2 linked regions of the Arabidopsis thaliana genome follow. The protein of the gene in region 2 interacts with the protein of the main gene of each other region in a pairwise test. Each region holds a gene or a part of one and is shown on either strand. Other genes may lie near its edges. The genes, in order: AT3G12470 and LUL3.

Region 1 (3,661 bases), on a different chromosome or scaffold from region 2:
TACTTACAGGTGCAATGAGCTCACAGTCTTGGCACCTCTTTCAAGGGTAATTTCATATGTACGATCACAAAGGTCTTGCAAGAACAACTCCAAAGATTTTGCTGTAATAAGAGAACATGAAATTTAGCCAAAGGGTAAAGTTTCCAATAATTCTCTTTTCAAACTGAAGTCAATGATAGCAAGATGACTTACAGACTAAGACAGGCACTGCCAAAGCTATCTTGCCAACATCCTCATCAGCTTGCATAATCTTTTTAATACGAGCCTGAAAAATTGTAATATATGCATCAAATGAAGAAACAGCAACCATCACACAGTGTGTGTGGCAATAATTACAGACTACTAAACGAATTATAAAGCAAATGGTAGAACTGAGAAACACCAAGCACGCTCTGTACAATCACCAATCAGATTATACAAACAAAAATATATTAACAAATTAAATGGAAAGTCAAAATCTGTGAAAAACTAATATTCTAGCCTCAGCTCAAACAAAATAAACCACCATCAACAATAACCAACTTATGAAATCATCTGACGTTTTATTCAATAAAGCTAAACAAAATCTAGCTAGCCAAATTGGAAGCTCTACAAAAAGTTCCAAGCCTATGAAAAAACAATTCGTGTATAACATCCCTGCTTCAATCAACACTATCTAACCAATAGCTGACTGGTTTGTTGATAAAGAACACGTTTCGAGCACTAGTCACCTAAATTCTCGAATTCTCTAATTTACATGAAACATTCCATAGCGGATCTTCATAACACATATTACTATAGCTATATAACAAGCACAACAAAAATTAGGGTGAAATTGACTACTAGGTCATTTGCTAAAACTAATTCGCCAGAAATGAGATACTTAATCTAATTTTCATCGTAGAACACTAATCTAATCCCAAATAGTGTTGGAAATTCGATCTGAAAAACAACAGATCAAAGTAATTTCCGAGAAATTGGACTTCAATTTCAGAAATGATCAATTAGAGACGAAAAACTTACAGCTGGGAACCGAGTATCGAGCTTCTTCCTCATGGTTTTGAAATCCCCAAATCCAGAAATCGTCGAATGAGAAAACGCAAAGCCACCAAAAATAAGAAGGAAAAAAAGGTAAACCCGACCCTTGAGATCAAAAATTGAGGGACGCGAATCTTCTGTACATATACTCCGTTCTAAGATCAGAAAGTAAGTTTCTTCGTCTTCTACTTCATGGATATGCACTATCAGATCCGGCGACGGCGGTTTCCTTGTTACAATCTCCGTGCGATGGAAAAATTAAAATTAAATATATATAATCAAATTAAAGTTTTGGGTCAAAGAAAAAAAATGGGTCGACGACATGGTTATTTAATTAAGTAATGTTAGTTATAAATATACGGCGGAGCACAAAATATAATCGGATTGTTTGAAAAGATCTAACCATACACGTGGCTATGTATTAGTGGATTGTATACGTTTTCTCGTGACAGTATTAATTCTTAGATCTTCATCCACCTTCTCTATTTTTTATTTATTGGATTTTGTTTGAGGATAATGCATCCTTGTAAGTTGTAACACATATGCCTGAACCAAAAAATATGTTTTGGGTTACTTTTTTTTATCACAATTTAAATAAAATAAAGTTAGAATTATTTGTCTTCAAGTTGAATTTAGATACTTATAAACCAAACTGTCGAATTTTAGAAAAAAAAAACAGAAACCACCTTTATTATAAAGTGTGATAAAACAAAGTGGCCTATGTATCCAAAGTTCCAAACAAAATGTTGTGGAATTTATATTTACAACTTTTTTATTTTTTCAGAAGTTATATTTAAAGTTACAAAATTTTGTCAAACCAATATATAGGAAAAAATATCAAGAGTAATTGCGTCATAGCGTTATACGTTGAAAGTTAACTTCATCAGTAATTATGATTTTACATCAGTGAATCATTGTTCGTGAAAAAAACACACAAAAAAAGGTTATGGTTATCTACCTAATTAAGCCCCCAAATAACTGAATAAACTATTTTAGTAAAAAGAAGTACGTAAAAAAGTATTATATTCCATGTCTTCATCAAACCTTTATGGAAATAAAAATAAAAATTCAGAGCCGTAAAATACAGTAATTAGTAAATGTTTTGCGTATACATCTATGATAGGCCTGACGATGTGACAGTACATGCATCTCCATTGTCAACCGTACGATTAAAACTACAAAGATCGACGGTGATTATAACTAGAAACAAAAATGTACCCTATAACAAGAAAAAGAAACCGCTTCTCTTTCTAACACTCGCTCAAAAATTTAGAGAAAGGAAGAAGAAGACAGATCAATGGCTCCGACGATCAAAAGAATCAGAAGTTTCCGTACTCACCAAAAACACTTTGTCGATTTTTTCGGAGACGACTTGATCGTCACCGTTACGCCGACTGCTTCCGTTATCCGCCGCTGGATTCGTAGCGTCCGCTCCTACAACCGTAATCACTCGGTACATCCTCTCGTCGTTGGAATCGGTGTTCAGTGGAGACCGGATAGTTCCGATCCAGATCCACCACCAAAAACTCTCCAGTTGTGCGTCGGTAGTCGCTGTCTCATCATCCAACTAGGTTACAATTACGGTCTCCCAAAAGTCCTCCGCACTTTCCTTGCCGATCCCAAAACGACTTTCGTCGGCGTTTGGAACGGCCAAGACCAGAAAAAACTCGAGAAATGTAGGCATCGAGTGGAGATCGGGAAGCTTCTGGACATAAGGATGTTCGTGAGAGATTCGAGAGGGGCTAGGATGTGTTTTTGTTCGTTTGAACAGATCGTGAAGGAGCGTTTGGGTCGCGTAGGAGTGAGGTTAGATCCGGCGATTTGTATGAGCGATTGGGGCGTTTATAACCTTAACCATTATCAGGTACTTCAGGCGTCGATTGAGTCGTATGTTTGCTTTAAGCTCGCTGTTGAGGAACGTCTCTGGAACTTAAAAGTTGCTGCTAATCTTGTGATTTGAATTTGTTGTTGTTCTTCTCTCTTTATCAATCAACGTCTTCTTCTAATTCATGAAAGTTTTCATGTTATCGTATTTTGTGACTATGAATGTTGACTGGAAAATTAGTACATGTAGACTACGTTTGTAATAAAGGCATTGATATTAAAAGACTATCTAACGTTTTGATTAAAAACAAATACGCTTTGATGAATTATATTATCAATTTTGTTTAATTTGACATGGGACAAAAAAAATCACGACGTACCAAATTGGTCAATCAAATGTTTTTGCACCCAGTTAAATGATTTCCGATTTTTAAACTGGATATAACCTCAAGCAAGATCAAGGATACGAGTTTACAACTGAGATGCGTTTATCAATCCTAATCTTGATTTAGGATAATACTAATTTTTAGGAGTATATAACATTAGCTAACGTAATCTGATAAACTATACTCAAAATATTCTCCATAATTCAAATTTCGAGATCTTTATAAGAAATTCTTTTTGAATTCAAATCAGTAATAACCATTAAGGTTTGGCGTAGGTTAATGACGTCACACTGCATCTCAACCGTCCAAATTTAACTGCATTTATTTTCAAAAAGATCAATGGTGATAGCGAGCACCAGTACTACAATTTAACTAGCCTCCGACGATTGCAAAAGGAGAAGAAAGCAGTTTCATCATTATCTCTGCTTGAAAAA
Region 2 (4,900 bases):
TAGTTCATAGATATGATACCACATGGAATCATAATGTGTATGGAGAAATAATATTGCTTGTAAAGAGAGTCACTTCACTACTATCAAACAAAGACTTTTTTTTATTCCTCATTTCAAAAGTTTGAGCATTCTGTCAAAAAGAATGAACTCAAGCTTCACTTTTTTTTTAAAACTTTTTTCTTTCTCAGGCTTAACTTCAATAGGAAACATTCTCCATCTCCTACCAGCTTTTCCTTTTATTTGAGCCTTTTTTACAGACAAAAAGCAAAAAGGAGAGAAGAAAAAAAGATTACTTCTTTGAATGTTCTCATCAACTTCAGTTCCCATCTCTCTTTATTTTCTTTTGAATCTTTGTAATTATCAAGGTCCCCATTTTCTCATCTACACAAACTTTTACTTTCTCAAAAAGAAAGAGTTAAAAGAAAGCCAAATTAGGGACACATAGAGCTATCCAAGACTCTTGCAGATTTTTCCTGTCTATTTTTGATATAGAATTGTGGTTACTAGGAGGTTCGGTTTCTAGATTATAAACCCGAAACGTTACGATAAACAACATATGATTGCAAGTTATATTTGAGCAATGCCCAAACCAAAAAGTATTCAGTTACAGAATGAGTGTTTCAAGTAGAAAGATACAAAGAGAAAGTTTCTCAAGAACCATTGGAGCTATATATACATTACTGACTTTTTTTTCTTTGAGTTTCCCAAAACTAAGACCAACAAATATGTGCAAGAGTATGACATGAGAAAACACATTTGTATAAGAAAAAAGGGCAAAAGAATTCGATTTGACGGTTTTCAAAAAGAAGAAGAAGAAAGAATCAAACATGGTGTTTAAGTGAAGGGAAGAAACCTCTTTTTCAGTGTTGTTCATCACTACTTTCCACTTTAATCTTTACAAGCTCATGGATAGGTTGTCTACAAATGGGACATTTGTTTGTCTGAAACCTCAGTTCTTCTGCGCAATCACTGCACAAACACTGCAACAGACAACACAACATGATTTAGTCTTGATGACAATTCAACCAAAAAGTTATGGTCTTGTGAAAGACTTGATGTAGATTTGCTTTAGAGACAATCAACAGCAATATGAAGCAAGTCTAAAATGACAGAATTTGCTTGTTCCATAACTGAAACGCTACCAACGATTTATAGGTTTACCGAGTAAATGAAAAAAATTGCGTTTAGAAGAATTGAAGAAAGCAAAGAGAATTGCTAGAAGTTTGTACCAAATGTCTACAAGGCATGACGGCTGTGTCCTTAGGTTCAGTCAAGCAAATGACACATTCTTTGCCACCAGTATCCTCTAACCCCGATGCAGCAGTACCTTGTGTGATTGAATTATCGATTCCATACAACTCTTGTAGTTCATATCGTTCTCCTTCAATCCATAGAATCTGTTTCATGACTTTCACTTTGAAAGATCCATCATTAGTCTTCTCCAAAACCGCTTGAGTGATCTGCTTATGAACTAATGGTTCCTCTGAAACCGAGCTTGGTGATATTACTGTCTCGGCTGATATTACAAGTGGGTACACCTCTTCTGGTGATGGTTTCGATAGATCATCCAGTGAAAAGAAGCCTAGGTCGATTCCTGTCCCTGGAGCTTGTAGAAACTTCTGCCCGGCACCTTTTTGGAAAGGGACTTTGATTGGTGGGAAAGCTTCTGGTAAATGAGGGACGATTGTGCACTTTGATTCCTCTTCTCCAAAAAATATGATAGTGAAACTGAAAATGAGACAAGTAACATAATGAGACTCCTCGTCAGATAATCTTAATACCTAAACTTGGTATGCAACACAGGAGAGTAATAAGGTTGATTCAGTTGCTAACTAGCTTAGTAGTTCCGAACCATTAAATGAACTACAATAACTCCTAAAATCAATCAGTTATGTAACTGAAGCCTGTATTGTTTGGTTTCTGAACCAATCACATATTCATCACCTAGATCATGTCAAATTTTAACCTTTTTCATCCCAAATTGTGGCAACACATAATTCAGAACTGAAACATGAGTAAAGATGTTTCCTTTTAATCAATCTCGTCCCAGCAAAAACCCTAACTTTCACTGAATAAATGAGTCATATCATGTAAAGTTTGAACCTTTACGATCCAAATTTGAGATTCAGTATAATCTACAAGACCCCTCTACGCTAATTAGCCAATCTCATTCAAATTCTGGTTCTAAAGTCGGAAACTTGACTCAAATTTTGGAGTGAAGAAGTTATACCTGCCATCGAATAAGGCATCGAAGACGAAGGAAACAAGATAATGACCAGGGTTAAGATCGTCAGCTACGAGCCTCACCGTAGCTTTATTCACATTGACATCGTTCTTAACCTTCTTAGCGGTCTGATGCTCCACATAAGGTGCAGGCGGTTCCATAACCGCAACCGGAGTCGGACCGAAATAAACCGGCCTCATCATCGGATTAAACCCATTGTGATGATAACCGGTGAAATACGGAGGAGCTTGTTGCGGGTAGTATTGGTTTTGATGGTAGTTTTGACCGTACGGTCGGTAACTAATCTGCGACGGAGGAGGCTGAGAAGAAGACGGTGGCTGAGCCGGTGGTGGAGGAAGAGAGAGCTGTGGAGTTGAAACGGGGTAATTGTGAGAGTAGCTATACCCGTTTTGAGGCGGCGGTTGTTGTGGTGGAGGATCGGAGTAATAGTACGGCGGATTGTGGTGGGGATGGTGGTGGTTGTTGTTGTTGTCTCGTCGACGCTTGCTTAAGGAGATCCCCATAGCCTCTGAAGAAACGAGACAAGAGAGACAGAGAGACGAAAGTCAGATCAAAAGATTTGTCTTCCGGTGAAGATTATTATTTACATTATTTTTACTTTACGCAGTTACTGCCAGATTTACTGCAATTTTTGTAATAAAAGTCAACGCGTGTAACTTTTTTTTTAATCGGATGTTCCCGAAGACATGACCGTCTAACGAAAGAGACAAGACCGTTTCTTCTTGTTCAAATCTAGAAAACACACATACATGACGTTTTTCGAATAGCATTATTGATAGAGAAAAACTATGAAAAATCAACTAATACCTTATGAATTTCAAACGTGGTGTTTTATAGTTGACCACATATATCAACAAGTTCTTAACTTTGAATATTATGTTAGTAAATTATATTCAGATCATTTATAAAAGTTTACAAGTTTTCATCTTAATTTTGGTTTTCTTCCAATTATGTTATTAAGATGAGATTTTAAATAGTCCAAAATAGTTGAGCCAATATCATAAAAGCTAATTTTGGTTATGAATATACCCATATATTCAATTGATGGGTTCAATTTATGCATAACAGATTCTGTGTATAATAAATATACCTTTAGTCGTATTCAACAATCTTCATTGAATATTGGTTTAGGAGATTTTTAAGATACCTGTAACATTTTTAGGTCATAGATATGTTTAGAATGCTTGTGAATGTCAACAAAATATCTGATTAGCTGGAGCAATTAGAAACTCAAACCAAAATCCATTTAGTTTCTTTTTATTCATCCAATATTTTAAATCTCTGTGAACTAATAATTACATCTCAAAGTTACTAAGAAAAATAACTTTTTAAAAATAATTTTTAATCTATGTTATTATTATACAAACCAAGAAAACTAAGCTTTGTATGTTAAAATAAAGATTATACAAAGTAAGTATTCATCATCTTAATTTTAATGACTATGGTTTACTTGGTCTTGAGGTTGTTGTGCATCTATCTTTATCAAGAGAGGCTCATTTAAATCCGTCGAAGCATCATCAGTAACGGTCAGCTCCGGCAAGGCTGCAACCGCTTCGTTCATGTCTCCTCCGTGCTCTGCTAAAGCTTTTCTTAGAGCGTCCTTCGCCACCTTTGTAACACACACCATTAATATCACTGCAAAGAAACAGATAGAAGAAGGAACTTGTAACATTAGTGATTCTGCCGCAATCGAAGGAACTAGTAACATTAGTTATGCCGAACTAACCGGATATTACAAGGCTCGAAATCAAGAACGCCTGCAGATTGCGGAAAACAGGTCAGAATAGAGATTGAAACAAGAAGCTGAGAATGTAATTAAAATTTGTGTAGATCTTACCCAGCGACCTGGCGAGAACTCGCTCCACTTGTGAGTTACATCAGAAAGGTCTTTTAGAGTTGTTCCAACATACACTAACGCAAGTGTTATTGGCTGCAAATTAACAATGTATCAAGCTGTATTATTTCCATCTTACAATTTAAACATTTTGCAGTCGTTATGAAGTGGTGGATTAGAATAGATTACCATCATCCCTAACCACGAAGAAAGCAAGTATGGACCTAGCCGAATTGGCGTGACAGATAAGAGGTAGTTCAACATGCTGAACGGAAGAAGAGGAGCAAGCCGGAGCAACAAGCATATCTATATTCAGTTTTGCATATTCATAAGTTTCAAAAGAAGAGTGTCAGCACAAAACTTGTAATGGGTTCTCAGTGCAAACCTTGAAGCCGGATTTCTCTATCGCGAGTGCCACTGATTGAAACTGAGGATAATCCTTTAATTTTGCAACTACAAAAGGTTTTCCAATCTGCATAAGAGCATTTTCATGTAAGTACCAAAATATCAAAAAAGGATAGCGTCAGTGGTTTATGCATGTCACTTCATTAATCTAATGGTTGTGTCTGCAAATCAATAAGAATTTGAGTGGCTTACCGTACGGCCTAGTAGAAATGCAGCTCCTGAGCCAAGTGTAGCACCGACTGAGTCCGCCACAAAACCAATTGGCAGCCCAAAAAGGTAGCCACCACCGAGCTGAATATATCACAGCTTCAACCAAATAAGATTTCTCAATTTTATAGATAAACCAGTCACTCTAACAAAGAAAGTTGAGAGTGGATGATAGCGGTAAATATATCACACACAAAAGAAATATGTAT

Evidence for each region.
Region 1: the proteins of LUL3 (region 2) and AT3G12470 interact in a two-hybrid assay, tested with the Arabidopsis thaliana proteins (one large-scale study listed by BioGRID).

The regions. Positions count from the first base shown.
Region 1 is NC_003074.8:3,955,439-3,959,099, reverse strand, and holds AT3G12470 (Polynucleotidyl transferase, ribonuclease H-like superfamily protein), read left to right. Parts: upstream 1-2,272; 5' UTR 2,273-2,314; coding exon 2,315-2,977; 3' UTR 2,978-3,139; downstream 3,140-3,661. Other genes in the region: NF-YC11 (nuclear factor Y, subunit C11), read right to left, coding at 8-101, 193-265, 1,003-1,035.
Region 2 is NC_003076.8:6,376,248-6,381,147, reverse strand, and holds LUL3 (RING/U-box superfamily protein), read right to left. Parts: upstream 3,000-4,900; 5' UTR 2,749-2,999; coding exon 2,231-2,748; intron 1,729-2,230; coding exon 1,230-1,728; intron 981-1,229; coding exon 861-980; 3' UTR 543-860; downstream 1-542. Other genes in the region: AT5G19070 (SNARE associated Golgi protein family), read right to left, coding at 3,678-3,880, 3,972-4,002, 4,083-4,175, 4,269-4,385, 4,465-4,551, 4,677-4,775. UniProt on the Arabidopsis thaliana protein: Acts as an E3 ubiquitin-protein ligase, or as part of E3 complex, which accepts ubiquitin from specific E2 ubiquitin-conjugating enzymes and then transfers it to substrates (in vitro).